Arabidopsis thaliana: one gene and its partners. The protein of the gene in region 1 interacts with the protein of each later gene in a pairwise test. Each region holds a gene or a part of one and is shown in the gene's direction. Other genes may lie near its edges.

What was found.
Region 2: the proteins of HAC1 (region 1) and HAT3 interact in a two-hybrid assay, tested with the Arabidopsis thaliana proteins (one large-scale study listed by BioGRID).
Region 3: the proteins of HAC1 (region 1) and WRKY42 interact in a two-hybrid assay, tested with the Arabidopsis thaliana proteins (one large-scale study listed by BioGRID).

Annotation. Positions count from the first base shown.
Region 1 is NC_003070.9:29,721,607-29,726,463, reverse strand, and holds the start of HAC1 (histone acetyltransferase of the CBP family 1), read left to right. Parts: upstream 1-1,828; 5' UTR 1,829-2,112; intron 2,113-2,339; exon of another isoform or gene 2,340-2,342; 5' UTR 2,343-2,479; coding exon 2,480-2,673; intron 2,674-2,833; coding exon 2,834-2,948; intron 2,949-3,085; coding exon 3,086-3,347; intron 3,348-3,431; coding exon 3,432-3,905; intron 3,906-4,007; coding exon 4,008-4,150; intron 4,151-4,252; coding exon 4,253-4,857. Other genes in the region: AT1G79010 (Alpha-helical ferredoxin), read left to right, coding at 1-57, 186-239, 361-452, 530-643, 890-957, 1,040-1,151, 1,231-1,326. UniProt on the Arabidopsis thaliana protein: Acetyltransferase enzyme. Acetylates histones, giving a specific tag for transcriptional activation.
Region 2 is NC_003074.8:22,320,080-22,324,667, reverse strand, and holds HAT3 (homeobox-leucine zipper protein 3), read left to right. Parts: upstream 1-2,006; 5' UTR 2,007-2,297; coding exon 2,298-2,496; intron 2,497-2,654; coding exon 2,655-3,013; intron 3,014-3,097; coding exon 3,098-3,177; intron 3,178-3,570; coding exon 3,571-3,880; 3' UTR 3,881-4,088; downstream 4,089-4,588. UniProt on the Arabidopsis thaliana protein: Probable transcription factor.
Region 3 is NC_003075.7:2,216,397-2,221,750, forward strand, and holds WRKY42 (WRKY family transcription factor), read left to right. Parts: upstream 1-1,645; 5' UTR 1,646-1,982; coding exon 1,983-2,219; exon of another isoform or gene 2,220-2,556; coding exon 2,557-2,655; intron 2,656-3,170; coding exon 3,171-3,317; intron 3,318-3,399; coding exon 3,400-3,786; intron 3,787-3,883; coding exon 3,884-3,997; intron 3,998-4,114; coding exon 4,115-4,717; 3' UTR 4,718-4,854; downstream 4,855-5,354. UniProt on the Arabidopsis thaliana protein: Transcription factor. Interacts specifically with the W box (5'-(T)TGAC[CT]-3'), a frequently occurring elicitor-responsive cis-acting element. Modulates phosphate homeostasis and Pi translocation by regulating PHO1 expression.

The DNA of each region.
Region 1 (4,857 bases):
AGGGATCTCATCTGTCTAGACTGCAGTCCCGTGGTATATCTTATGGCAGCAACAAAGGTATATTTTCTGCTCTTGTTTGGTTTTCTTTGGTAAATCAGGTTTAATTGTGAATCTACCCCTTTTCCAACTTGTATTACGAGATTCTGATTCATATATGACTTATGGTTTGCGTATGTAATATTCAGATGATGAAGAAGCAGAGCAACTTTCTAAGGAAATCTCCAAGGACTGGAATACTGGTAATCCATATGATCTAGACAATTTTACTTTTTTTCTCCTTTCTTCTTTTCTTGTACGTCTATCTTCCTTGGTGTTTTCCTCCCCGAGTATTAGTGATTCCTGATATTCTCAAATTTGTAGTCTTTGAACGGAGCATAAACACCCTGTTCCTCACAGAAATGGTCCGCGGTTTGTCGCTGACCCTCAAGTACTTCTTTGATCCAAAAGTTACTGTGAGTGATATCTTTTCTAGTCTTCCAAACTTAGATTGAAAGAAATCTGTGTTACTGAAGCTCTTTCGTGTATGCAGATCAATTATCCATTTGAGAAGGGTCCTCTGAGCCCTCGCTTCCGTGGTGAACATGCTCTTCGAAGATATCCTACCGGGGAAGAACGCTGCATTGCCTGCAAACTCTGTGAAGCTGTGAGTTTTGAGATCGATATGAATCCTTCATTTAATTTAACGTTCTCTTTGTTCTGATATGGTACTCTGAGTCTATCAAATTCATCTTAGTAATTAGGAAAGCTATTTGAGTATGAGTAATATTTACTGTTTAGTCTCTAGAGTTCTGATGAAATGGTCATATTAGCTGACAATGATCTATTTAGTGTGTATAAAAGTTCACCACGGATTGTAATTCTTGTGAGGGATACTTGTCCTTTTCATCAGGTATGTCCAGCTCAAGCAATCACAATAGAGGCAGAAGAGAGGGAAGATGGAAGCCGCAGAACCACTAGGTCATCATCCCTTTAGTTCTCATTTATCAACCATCTGCTTTCTTTATTACCCTTTCATGATGATTTGAGCTGTATCGTACAGGTACGATATCGACATGACAAAATGCATCTACTGTGGTTTCTGCCAAGAAGCTTGCCCCGTTGATGCAATCGTTGAAGGACCTAACTTTGAATTCGCAACCGAGACACACGAGGTCTGTTTTTCACATTTTCTAGACCCTAATAATTTTCGAGGCATGCTTATTGAAATTTTTGTTATATTCTCTATGATAGGAACTTCTCTATGACAAAGAGAAGCTTCTTGAGAATGGAGATCGATGGGAGACAGAGATTGCTGAGAATCTGAGGTCGGAGAGTCTCTACCGCTGAACCATTCTACAACAGTCTCTGCTTCATTCAACTTGTTTTTCCCGGGGAAACATTTTCGTTGCTTCTGTTTGAAAATAAAGACGAGATCATATGCGTGTGAAAACTCTTTTGTAATCCAGATTTTGTGCTGTGTAATTGAATTGTTTGTAACCAACCTGACTTTGATTTTCGGTTCATGAGTTCCGGTTATTAGGTGTTTTCGGTTCGGAGAAAGAGCATTTAATTTGGTCAAAGACTGAAAACAGATAAGTCTTAAGCTACAAGGGTATATCTGTACATTAAGAAATATTTGATCGGACGGACAAGATCATGTCTTTTTTTTTTTTACGGCGGACGGACAGGATCATATGCTTATAGTTTATCCTAATCTGTCCGATCTAAACATAATGCTTGTCGATTTTTTCATTTATTTGCCTTTTGGTTGCGCCAATTATCGTATTCAGACAGCAAAATTAATATTTTAATGTGTATTTTTTGTTGAGTTACTATTTTAGAAAAACAACGAATCCCTAGAAAGGAAAGAAAAAAAAAAACAAAATCCCCAAATCGAGCGAGTCCAAAGAAAAATCCCAAATTCGACGAACCTACAAGCCCAGAACATCCCCCGATTTGGGAAAACCTGAATTCATTCGCTTTTGATTTGCCATCTTCTTTCTGGGATTTGTCTACTGCTTGATCCTAATTTCTGACCTCGCTTTTGGTTTGAGTTCACACGTGCCGCATCGGCTGTTCACCGGCTTTGTTTCATTGTGCAGACTCCAATCATCGTACAATCTGTAGCAACCGGTTGGTCTCCGTCAAATTTCTCCACTTTGTTGCCAAATTTTACTCCTTTTTGTATCAATTCAAAGATTGGGGGTGAATTTTTAGGGTTTATCATTTTGTTCATTTTTGGTAACTATTTTGGGGTTTAATTACTTCTTTAGTTGATACTATGATTGATACTATCTCCCAATTAATATGAGATCAAATTGTGACAATTTCAGTTCTCTGATTACACCAAGTTTTTTTAGCAGGACATTCTCTAAGGTGCTAAATCAGGAGATGAAATTTGGATACTGTGACTTCTGGAGGAGAGGAAAGTTATGCAGTGTTTGTTACTGTTAATTACCAGAAGAACTAGGACAAGGCGACGGAGACTGAAGAGGTAGCTATGAATGTTCAGGCTCACATGTCGGGGCAGGTTTCAAACCAAGGGACTATGTCCCAGCAAAATGGGAACTCCCAAATGCAGAATTTAGTTGGTGGTGGTTCAGCTCCTGCTACTGGTGCTGGTTTAGGACCTTCACGCGTTTCTCCCGTTGACAATGACATCTTGAAACTTCGGCAGGCTATGCGAATCAGGATGTAAGCCTTTGCTTTTCTCAAGCTTTTGACTTTGGTGTCTTCCCACCATTTTGCAGTTATATTTCCTTGCTCTTGTTATACGGCTATTTATTTTGGATTGGATTCAATATCTCCAGTTTATCGCCAATCAAATCCGTGTATTTCTCTTCTTTCTTTTCAGTTTCAATATCTTACAGCAAAAGCAACCATCTCCAGCTGATGAAGCATCAAAGGCTAAATATATGGATGTTGCTAGACGCTTAGAGGAGGGGCTGTTTAAAATTGCTAACACAAAGGTATTTATTTAATATACTTAAGGAAAGGATAGGCACGTATTTGGCATTTAAAATTTTGCCACTAGATCCAGCTTGTTGGCTAATGTCCTAACTTGAAATTTCTTGTTAACGTGCTACACTTCCATTTTGAATCGCAGGAAGATTACGTGAACCCGTCAACCCTTGAACCTCGGCTGGCAAGTCTAATCAAAGGCAGGCAGTTAAATAACTACAATCAGCGACACGCTAATTCTTCTTCGGTTGGAACAATGATACCCACTCCAGGATTACAACACAGTGGTGGGAATCCAAATTTGATGATTACTTCCTCAGGTGATGCTACAATGGCTGGAAGTAATAACATCACAACTAGTGCTATGAACACTGGAAACCTGCTAAATTCTGGTGGCATGCTTGGAGGTTCTTTCACTACAACTTATATAAAATATGGGCATAAAATTTTCTGCGCATATTTTTTCTGAACACCTTTACTTCTCTTTGCAGGTAACCTGTCTAATGGATACCAACATTCATCGAGTAACTTTGGTCTTGGGTCTGGAGGGAACATGTCATCCATGAGCTCCCAGAGAAATACCGGCCAGATGATGCCTACCCCTGGATTTGTCAACAGTAGTACTAATAACAACAGCAATAATGGCCAGTCTTACTTGAGTGTTGAAGCTTCCAACAATAGTGGTGGATTTTCTACTGCTCCCATGATGGTACCTCAGACTCAGCAACAGCAACTGAGGCAGGATATTGGTGGCCAAAATAGTCGTATGCTGCAAAACCATGGAAGTCAAATGGGTGTTGGCCTTAGACCTGGAATGCAACAAAAATTGTCTAATGTGTCTAACAGCTCCATAAATGGTGGTGTTGGAATGAATGCAAAAAGCGTAGATTCAGGTACATCCTACACCAATCCTATCAGAAATTCACAGCAGGCTTATGATAATCTTCAGCGTTCAGGAATGCAGGGTAAAGTCTTTATTTCCCATCCCTAAATTGTAGTTTCTAACCTCTTGTTGTTGTGCGTATTCATCAGAATATTTTAATTGTTATGTTATTTTACCGTTTCAGGTGATGGATATGGCACAAACAACTCTGACCCATTCGGATCGGGAAATTTGTATGGTGCTGTAACATCTGTTGGGATGATGACAAATACTCAGAATGCCAATACAGCAAGTTTCCAGGCTGTGTCTAGAACTAGCTCTTCTTTGGTAAGCAATCCATGGAATTCACTTTGCATGCAGCAAAGTGCACCAGTGAAACATCAATCTGAGAATACCGATTTGTAATCATCTTTCGTACCTTTTTTGCAGTCACATCAACAGCAGCAGTTTCAGCAACAGCCTAATCGGTTTCAGCAACAACCTAATCAATTTCACCAACAGCAGCAGCAGTTTCTTCATCAACAGCAATTGAAGCAGCAAAGCCAGCAGCAACAGAGATTTATAAGTCACGATGCTTTTGGGCAAAATAATGTGGCTTCTGATATGGTTACTCACGTTAAACATGAACCTGGAATGGAGAACCCTAGCGAGTCTATCCACTCCCAAACTCCTGAGCAATTTCAGCTTTCTCAGTTTCAGAATCAATACCAGAACAATGCAGAAGACCGTCATGCAGGTTCTCAGATTCTCCCTGTCACAAGTCAGAGTGATATGTGCACATCAGTTCCTCAAAATAGCCAACAGATACAGCAGATGTTGCACCCGCATAGTATGGCTTCAGACTCTGTCAACGGTTTTAGCAACCTCTCTGTTGGAGTGAAAACAGAATCTGGGATGCGTGGTCACTGGCAATCTCAGTCACAGGAACATACTCAAATGTCTAATAGTATGTCGAACGAACGGCACATTCAGGAGGATTTCCGACAAAGAATGTCTGGAACGGATGAAGCTCAGCCCAATAATATGTCTGGAGG
Region 2 (4,588 bases), on another chromosome or scaffold:
CCACAATATATCTATTCGGTCGATAAAAATAATTTATTTTATTTTGTATAACAATACAAATTGTCAACAAAAAATCTACTACAATTTTTACATTCCATAAAATACAAACAAAACTTGAATTTCCATAGACTTCAGAGCTTGAAAGTCTCTCGTATAACAAAGAGGTAAAACAAATAAACTTTGGCTATGTTTTTTTTTTTTTTGCGTTGAATAAGTGTGTTAATAATAAAAGGAAAACTTGATCAAATATATTTTGTCTTTCTATTTTCACAAATGCTTTTTTTTTTGGTGTTTTCTAAAAATCTAAGTAACAGTGTTATTAATGGAGAAAATAAATGAGAAGAAGGGTTATGTTTAGATTGTTTCCTGTGTAAATGTAAAATCAAACATATAAATTAAACACGAGCAGGAAATTAAATAAATAGAGCTGACCTGTCTTGTCTGTGTAACTGCTGAAAGTTTTGAAGAGACTGAAGGCAGAAGTAATGATGGCAATATCAATAACATATATGGAGTCATCATTAATTAAATAGTAATTTAATTACTCTCTTATTAGTCATAAAAATCAGCCAACACCACTTGTCGTGCGTTTTTATTTATGTTTGACTGACAGATGAAATTAATGAGAAAGTTAATTATCTTTTGGTATCACATTGGGAAAAAGGAACAATAAATGAAGGAGGGAGGCATGGAATGGGAATGCATGTTGGATTCGCAGACAACTCAAAATCCATGCAGTGTTTAGGGCTTTTAGGTTCTCTGTAACCTATCTATACGACACCGTATCTCTGCCCCCTCCTGATTCCATACCCATTTTGAGCCCACCGCCTTATTCTCCCCCCACCTCACACTCGCCCATTCGCGCGTATCTATTCTTTCACGCTTACCTATTATTCCAACATCCTCATAATCACATTTTAACAATAACCCATTGAAGAATAATAATTCATTTCATTCTTTAAGAAAGTTTGGTTTGTAACTAGGTTATATAATTTTACCCAATAAAGGTTATAGAATGGTTTAAAACTACTAAGAAAAACATAATTTAGCTGATCTTTTCTCAAAAAAAAAAAAATAGTTGTCATAATCGAATGCCAATGATGAAACATATTCACCATAAAGCTAACTTAAAGAACCTTTTCTAACCAACAAGTTAACAAGTGATGGTGAATTTGGAGAGTGGGTGAGATTTGTTTTAAGGATATAATTCCATGTTAAAATGGGAAGTACAATTATATGGTTTGATATACAGTACTACAAATTATGCTTTAAGAGTACTAATATTAAAGCGAAGCTGCATTATTTTTGAGATACGTAGGACCCCAATGGTCAGAGGGAGAAGTAAAGTTATGATGATAACAATAAGGCATGATATGATGATGATGTTCATAATGATACTGATGATGATGATGATTTATTAATTATTATGATATGATATCATTATTTGATCACCCTCACGAGCGCGTGGATTTTACCGTCTGGTCGCTGCTTTTTTAATCCTCTCAATCAGTCAACGGTCAACGAGCGAGAAAGCCGCTTTCGTAATGAAAGCCACATTACAAAAAGCCAATTATGCTTGTTTGTGTGTTTTTGAAAAAGAGCTTCTTTTACATTTTCTTTACTTTGAAACTCGGGTACACAAAATCTCTACTCAATTATATTGTCAACTACTAATCTTTAGTATCTTTTAAAGTAGAAACTCAGCTTTTATCTATATTTAGTAAAACCTCACATGAATGGATTTGGGTGAATGAGTTTATCATATGTATAAGAATCTAATATAATATTTGAAAAACGCTCATAGGTTATTTTGTAATTAAGAATAGTGACAACTTACAATATACCAAACGGAAAATGATAGAGAAAGAACAAGAGACTTGGACTTTTTTTTTTCTTATAATAAATCAATTAACCATGGTTGAAAAGGGATGTGAGGTGAAAGTAATAACTCCTGGTTTTAATTTTAACCATGGTTAAGTTAAAATAAAGAGAGAAGGAAGCAGGTTTTTATGCAGTATATATCATCATTGAGGTAACAGAGGTCTCTCTGACACAAGTCATCATTGAAACCCTAAGCCTCCCCACAACCCCATATCTCTTTGTCTGAAAAAACTCTTTTGCATATATAAATAAATATAAGCCATATCTTTTGAAACTGTACTGCTGCACAAGTGTAGAGGCAGTGGCACAACATCTTTAAGAAAGAGAGAGAGAAAGAGTCATTTATTCATTTCCTCGCTTAAAAATCTTGAGCACCCAGACAGAATTCTTCTTTCTTCTTTCTGGGGTTGAGAAAAATGAGTGAAAGAGATGATGGATTGGGGCTAAGTTTGAGCTTGAGTTTAGGTTTTAATCAAAAGGACCCGTCTTCGAGGTTAAATCCAATGCCTCTGGCTTCTTATGCATCTTCATCACACATGCAGCATATGCAGCAGAGCAATTATAACCATCCTCAAAAGATTCAGAACACTTGGATTAACATGTTTCAGTCATCAGGTATTTACCTCCTTTTACTAATCCAGATTCATGTCTAAGATTATAGGTTTCTTTGTTTTAGATCCGATCTTTTTATTACACTTTATCCTATAATAGATAAAATTTTCTTGATATGTTTGTGATTTTTAATCATTTGGCGTGATTAACGTAACGTGCAGAGAGAAACTCGGACATGAGATCGTTTCTCCGGGGAATAGACGTGAACAGAGCTCCATCGACGGTGGTGGTTGACGTGGAGGATGAAGGCGCCGGAGTTTCGTCTCCGAACAGCACCGTCTCAAGCGTGATGAGCGGGAAGAAGAGCGAGCGAGAGCTAATGGCTGCGGCAGGTGCAGTTGGAGGAGGTAGAGTAGAAGATAATGAGATTGAGAGAGCTTCTTGCTCGCTCGGCGGTGGTAGCGACGATGAAGACGGTAGCGGGAACGGAGATGACAGTTCGAGGAAGAAACTCCGATTGTCTAAAGAACAAGCTTTGGTTCTTGAAGAAACTTTTAAAGAACATAGTACACTCAATCCGGTCAGTGGCATTTCCGTAGTTTTCTTCAATAGGTTGACTTTTTATATGTTTTTCATTGACTTTTTTTGTTGTTGTTGGATGCAGAAGCAAAAGATGGCTTTGGCTAAGCAATTGAATCTGAGGACGAGACAAGTTGAAGTGTGGTTCCAAAACCGAAGGGCAAGGTAGAAATTTTTATTCTATTTTAAGGGGTTACTTTCGTAAATTTTATATAGTCCAACAAATAAAACATTAGTAGTTATTGCTATGATGGTGATATGTGTAATGGTCCATTTTATGACCCATAAGATTATCCTAAAGGATTTTAATGGGTCTCTCATGTCTTAAATTAGGAGGTTTGGTTTAAGCTATTCAGTTTTCCCGGTTTAAGAATTAAAACCGCCAATGTTGTTTTTGAGTCAAATTTTGGTTAAAGTGTTTTCAGTTTTCCGGTTCAAGAACAATAACCGCCAGTTTCGAATACAAGAAACAAATGTACTTCGGGTTTTCTCTTTCCCGGATAGTTAAACCGGATATCGGATTTTAATGTTTTGGACTGTTTGTGTGTGTGTTTATAGGACGAAGCTGAAGCAAACGGAAGTAGACTGTGAATATCTTAAGAGATGTTGCGAGAATCTAACGGATGAGAATCGGAGATTGCAAAAGGAAGTGAGTGAGCTTAGGGCTTTAAAGCTTTCTCCACACTTATACATGCACATGAAACCTCCCACTACTCTCACAATGTGTCCTTCTTGCGAGCGAGTCGCTGTTACGTCATCTTCGTCATCGGTGGCTCCTCCTGTGATGAATTCATCGTCTCCGATGGGTCCGATGAGTCCGTGGGCTGCCATGCCTCTACGGCAACGACCTGCTGCTGGTTCTCATTAGAGTTTAATTAGTCTAAAGATAATAGGTTTGGTGATTTGTTTTTATTATATTGTTGAACGGACTTGGAAGTTCTTTTCAAGAGTTGGTCCCATGCTCTTCTTTCCTTTGTTTTATTCAGTTTCTATTTATAGCTGAATTCTGGATAATGGAAAATCTACTAATATTATTGTCCAATTATTAGTTTGGGGAAAGATAAGAGGTTCTATCATTCTTTATTGTTATATATTTTGATTACATCATATCTGTTTTTCACCAAATCCAGAGTTCTATTTTAAGGCCATCGAATCATAATAACGAATGGTGCATAAACTAATTTTCAAGAGCGTCATTTATTAAAGTTGTAATTGTTTAATTGGGGTTTTCTTTCTTTTGCTTGGAACTTAAGAAAGGGATTTGTAAAGATGATTATTAATTACAGTAGAAGATTAGTTAGAAGTATAAAGTAAAAAGAAGCAATGAAAGGTGTTATGATTGATGGAGCAAGCGTGTGTTGTTTGCATATGTAATAAGTAAATGTTAGCCAATACGAATATCGAGACATGTACGTGACATAACATAGCATTTGGTATGTATATGGAGATATTTGGGTCCACATAGACGAAGTCAGACCATTAGAATCTCTTGCAGAACACTGAAGATACGATATTTTTTTCTTCCCTTATGTCAAAAGATCTCAACCGACAGAGAAAGAGAAAATGAGAGGTACGA
Region 3 (5,354 bases), on another chromosome or scaffold:
ATTTTAAGTAATTTAGTCCAAAAAAAAAGAAAAATCTATTATGAGAATTATGCTAAAAATAGTTTTTTCTTATCTAAAGCTCCTATATTTGACTATCAACCAAGGATTCAAAGTTTTACTAATTAGGACAAAGTCTTTGAAAACATTTCGTAGATTAGAGTGCTTTTTTTAGAAAAAATATTCTTCGGTGAGATTTTTCAGTAGAATAGATTGGTCAATATTAATTTATATAATCCCAATATATATAACTAAACCCTTTAAAGAAAAAAAAACATTCTAGATGATACTACGATAATTTACCAATTTAGTACTTTTTATTTCTTTTTATCTGTTTATTAGTTAAAATAACTTTTGTTGTTTAAACAAATTATGTCACTTAAACGCAAAATTCAATTTCGTTTTCTCTGTTTGTTTTCCTAATTAAACTTTTAGTAGAGTATATGAAGTACGTAATTAACCATTTTCCAATATTAGTCAAGTGACTTTGACTTTTTTGAATAAATAATCTTCTAGATGATTACAGTTTAGTCCCAAATTAGTAAAAATTTCAAGGGTGATTTAAATAAATAACATGTTAATTTATCTGATATCACTGTATTTCAATAAAATGTGCCGTTTTGTATTTCTTTTGCTTATGACATGTTAAAACAGTAAAATATTGCAGTTAATCAAAAACAATAGTCTTTCATGTATTAATTCAATTTTACTCGAGTACAAAAAAGTATTAATCAAAACATATGCATTTCCATTAACTAGTTAAAATGACCCCGACTTTTGTCTATAGAAATATAATTTTATGATTGATTGACGAGGATTTTGTTATAGGTTGTGTTAGTGTTTTCGTTATGTTATAGTGGATAGTCCACATTGTTGACACAAATTATATGATTATTAAAATTCTAATTTATGTATGATTTAAACAAACAACATGTTAATTTATCTGATAGTAAGTGTTACTATCAGAAAACACGAAACTTTACACCTTAATATATAATACGTGTTTGCTAATTTACCCAATAACAACTTATCTTACTAAATATAGAATTTTGCTAGGATACGAAAACGTATTTTAATGGTACATTTTCTCCAATTTACTATATTTTCTATCATAATACGTCAAGTAATTCTTTAAGAGAAGAATCAACCTAATTTTTTAAGAATATCAGCAAACCGCAAGAAGTGGCTTTAAGGAAAAAAACAACTTCTTTAATAAATCATACCTCTTCGTTGACAAAAAAAAAAGAAAAAAAAAGCACACAACTCCCTCTCGTAAGCAACAGTTGATTAGTTTTACTCTTTTCGAATTGCTTGATCCAACAACACGTCTGTAATATAAAACAAATTGTTGGGTCGTATGATATATTTGTTAACTTTGGACAAAAAAATGACATGTTTGTTAATAATATAGGTCTATGACGTCGACACTGACGAAAAACGAACCAAAACAAATCTTCACAAATATCTTTCCACGAGAATCTAAGATTTAAACCGATATTATTATGTAGAAGCAGACATAAAACAAATATAGACAACAATATTGTCTTTATATAACAATATTGCTTATTAAAAAAAAAAAGAGAGTTATAAATAATATTAGTAGAAAAAATTGACAATATCTGAGTCCACGTCAAAACCCTTTTTGTAGCCGAAGCATCTGGTTCTCTATCCTCGTCTCTAACCACATACTAGACAAAGTATCTCTCATATCTCTCTCTTCTAAGATATCTTCTTCTTCACCTCTCTATATATGGATGATTAGATATGGTACGGAACAATCACTCACACACAAAACACACTCTAGATATAAAGGATTAGATACGTAACATATCCTTTTTTTGGTTACTAGGGTTTCGGAAATTTGGATATCAAATTTTAACATCAAGCAAATCATCATCCGTACGTACTCATTCATACTTTTGTAACAAAAAAAAAAAACAATCTAAGATATCTATCAAGATCTTAAGATATCTACATTTATAGAGATGTTTCGTTTTCCGGTAAGTCTTGGAGGAGGTCCACGTGAGAATCTGAAGCCATCAGATGAGCAGCATCAACGTGCGGTGGTGAATGAGGTTGACTTTTTCCGATCAGCGGAGAAGAGAGATAGGGTTTCACGTGAAGAACAAAACATTATCGCCGATGAGACTCATAGGGTTCATGTCAAAAGGGAGAATTCACGTGTTGATGATCATGACGATCGTTCTACTGATCACATCAATGTAAGCAGATGGTTAACTCATCGCTTTTGTTTTCTTTGTTTTTTTTTTATTATCTAGAAGTTCAAGCTAAAAATTCTACATTTCCGATATGCGAAACCCACATTAGATTAAATTCATTTTTTTTGGAGAAGAGATCGTTCCCAACGTGCATCAAACCCAGTACATCCACATGAGAAATTTACCACTGGACCAACAGCTCGTTGGTTACTTCATTGTTTTCCTTTTCGTCAATATCATTTAATTACTTCGGATTTTAGTTAGTAATATTATAAAACAATAATTTCGTTATATAGATGAAAACTTTGTTCATTGAAATGTGTATGATTATTGTAAATAGATTGGACTTAATCTTCTCACTGCGAATACGGGAAGCGACGAGTCAATGGTGGATGATGGATTGTCTGTGGATATGGAAGAGAAACGTACAAAGTGTGAGGTACACTTATTATTCAATTAGTATAGATCATTTTTGAGTAATAATAACAAAAAAAAGACACAACTAGTGTATTTATCGCACGAACCAAAGAAAAAGAGATTGTCAAAATCCAACAAATAAAAAATGATTGTCAAAAACCATCAAGAGTGTATATTTTTGTGCGTCTGTTACGTACGTAAACAATTTTCCGCTTTTCTGATTCGTCAGAATTTTAAATAATATCTGATGACAAAAAAAATAAAAATATTTTTATGCTAAATTTTGATTATTTTTACTGTTCATCTTCATTTTGTCACATAATTAAGCATAAAAAGATATTTTCTGATTTTCTCTACAAATTTTTTATTTCTTAAGAATTAGTAAAAATATACCGTTTTCGTAGACTTAGACATTCTATTTTTATATGTTGTTCGTATCGGTCCGTAAGATCCGGACATGTTAGAGAGATTTACTCTTTCTTACTAGAATGATTTAATGTCTGATACATGATTTTTTTGTTTTTTAATAAAATGAAGAATGCACAACTTCGCGAAGAGCTAAAGAAGGCGAGTGAAGATAATCAAAGACTAAAGCAAATGCTAAGTCAAACAACCAACAACTTCAATTCCTTGCAGATGCAACTTGTTGCTGTCATGAGGCAACAAGAAGATCATCATCACCTAGTAATTAATTAACACTCTAATACGTCTTAATCATTTATTTCATATAATTAGTTAAAGATTTTATACCCTTGTTTTTCATCAGGCTACGACCGAGAACAATGACAATGTAAAGAACCGACATGAAGTGCCTGAAATGGTTCCAAGACAGTTCATCGATTTGGGACCGCATTCTGACGAAGTGTCGTCCGAGGAGAGGACGACGGTTCGGTCGGGATCTCCTCCCTCGCTTCTAGAGAAATCTAGCTCACGTCAAAACGGAAAGAGAGTGCTTGTAAGAGAAGAAAGCCCGGAAACCGAATCCAACGGCTGGAGAAACCCTAACAAAGTTCCTAAACACCATGCATCATCCAGCATTTGCGGTGGCAATGGCAGTGAAAATGCAAGTAGCAAGGTCATTGAGCAAGCGGCCGCCGAAGCCACCATGCGTAAAGCCCGTGTCTCGGTTCGTGCTCGATCCGAAGCTCCCATGGTAATACTAATTAATCTTCCTCTCTAGAATTTCTATGAAGATTGATCTCTACAAATGTTTTTGGAGGTTCATTAACATCAATGACATTGTTTTACAGTTAAGCGATGGATGTCAATGGAGAAAATACGGACAAAAAATGGCGAAAGGAAACCCGTGCCCTCGAGCTTATTACCGTTGCACAATGGCTGTTGGATGTCCTGTTCGCAAGCAAGTACGTTACCTAAACAATTCACACATCTAAAATTATGTTTGAAGGTGATCAATCAAGTGTAATAATTTAGAGAAAAAAAAAATAATGTATTGTAACAAACTCATGATGACCTAACAGGTGCAACGTTGCGCGGAAGATAGAACCATTCTCATAACAACCTACGAAGGAAACCATAACCATCCATTACCTCCTGCGGCTATGAACATGGCTTCAACTACAACAGCAGCCGCAAGCATGCTTCTCTCAGGCTCCACCATGTCGAACCAAGACGGTTTAATGAACCCAACAAATCTCTTGGCTCGAACCATATTACCGTGTTCCTCAAGCATGGCTACTATCTCAGCCTCTGCACCATTCCCAACCATTACATTAGACCTCACAGAGTCACCCAACGGGAACAATCCAACCAATAACCCGCTGATGCAATTCTCTCAACGGTCTGGTTTGGTGGAGTTGAACCAATCGGTTTTGCCTCATATGATGGGTCAGGCTTTGTACTACAACCAACAGTCTAAGTTTTCGGGTTTACATATGCCGTCTCAGCCGCTAAACGCTGGTGAGAGTGTTAGCGCCGCTACTGCCGCAATCGCCTCCAATCCCAACTTTGCCGCGGCTCTAGCTGCAGCCATAACTTCGATTATCAACGGTTCGAACAATCAGCAGAATGGGAACAACAATAACAGTAATGTTACAACGAGCAACGTTGACAATAGGCAATAACATTTTTTTATAAGTTTTAGTTAGGGACTTTTTATCGGTCGATTTTGTTTTGTTTTTCTTTTATTACATTATTTTTTAGTTACGGCTTTTTTTTGTTTTTTCTTTTCTTTCCCAAACAACAAGTATTGAGAGCAATTCCCCCCCCCCCCCCTCTTTTCCTTCTGTATGATCGACAATTGTGTTCAGAAATATAAAATTGCTTAATTTTTCCAGAAGCTATTAATTCTTATGAAGTCATCAAATGCGCATCTATGTGCCATTAATTATGATCAAACTCGATGTATTGTGCCTAAAACGGAAGCTCAACAAGCAAATGCTTTAGGCATTATAAATATATTATGATTTTAGGGCATCAAATTTAAGAAATCTCCTTACAGTGTAGCCGTTTGTGTAATATTTTATTGGTGGGTCAATAATATTTTTTGCTTTAGGGAGCCCAAACACTTAGACTCTGAACATCGGTACGATGTTTTATTTGTGGTGGATATATGGAACTGCTATTAACGTACTTACTCACTCTAAAATTAGTCGATGCTGACCTCAAGAGTTTGGCTTGTGAAAAGTTGATGACCAGACTAAATCGATATGTCACTTGTCAAGTGTGGCATTATTTTAAAGGTTGGTTAAATATATAATT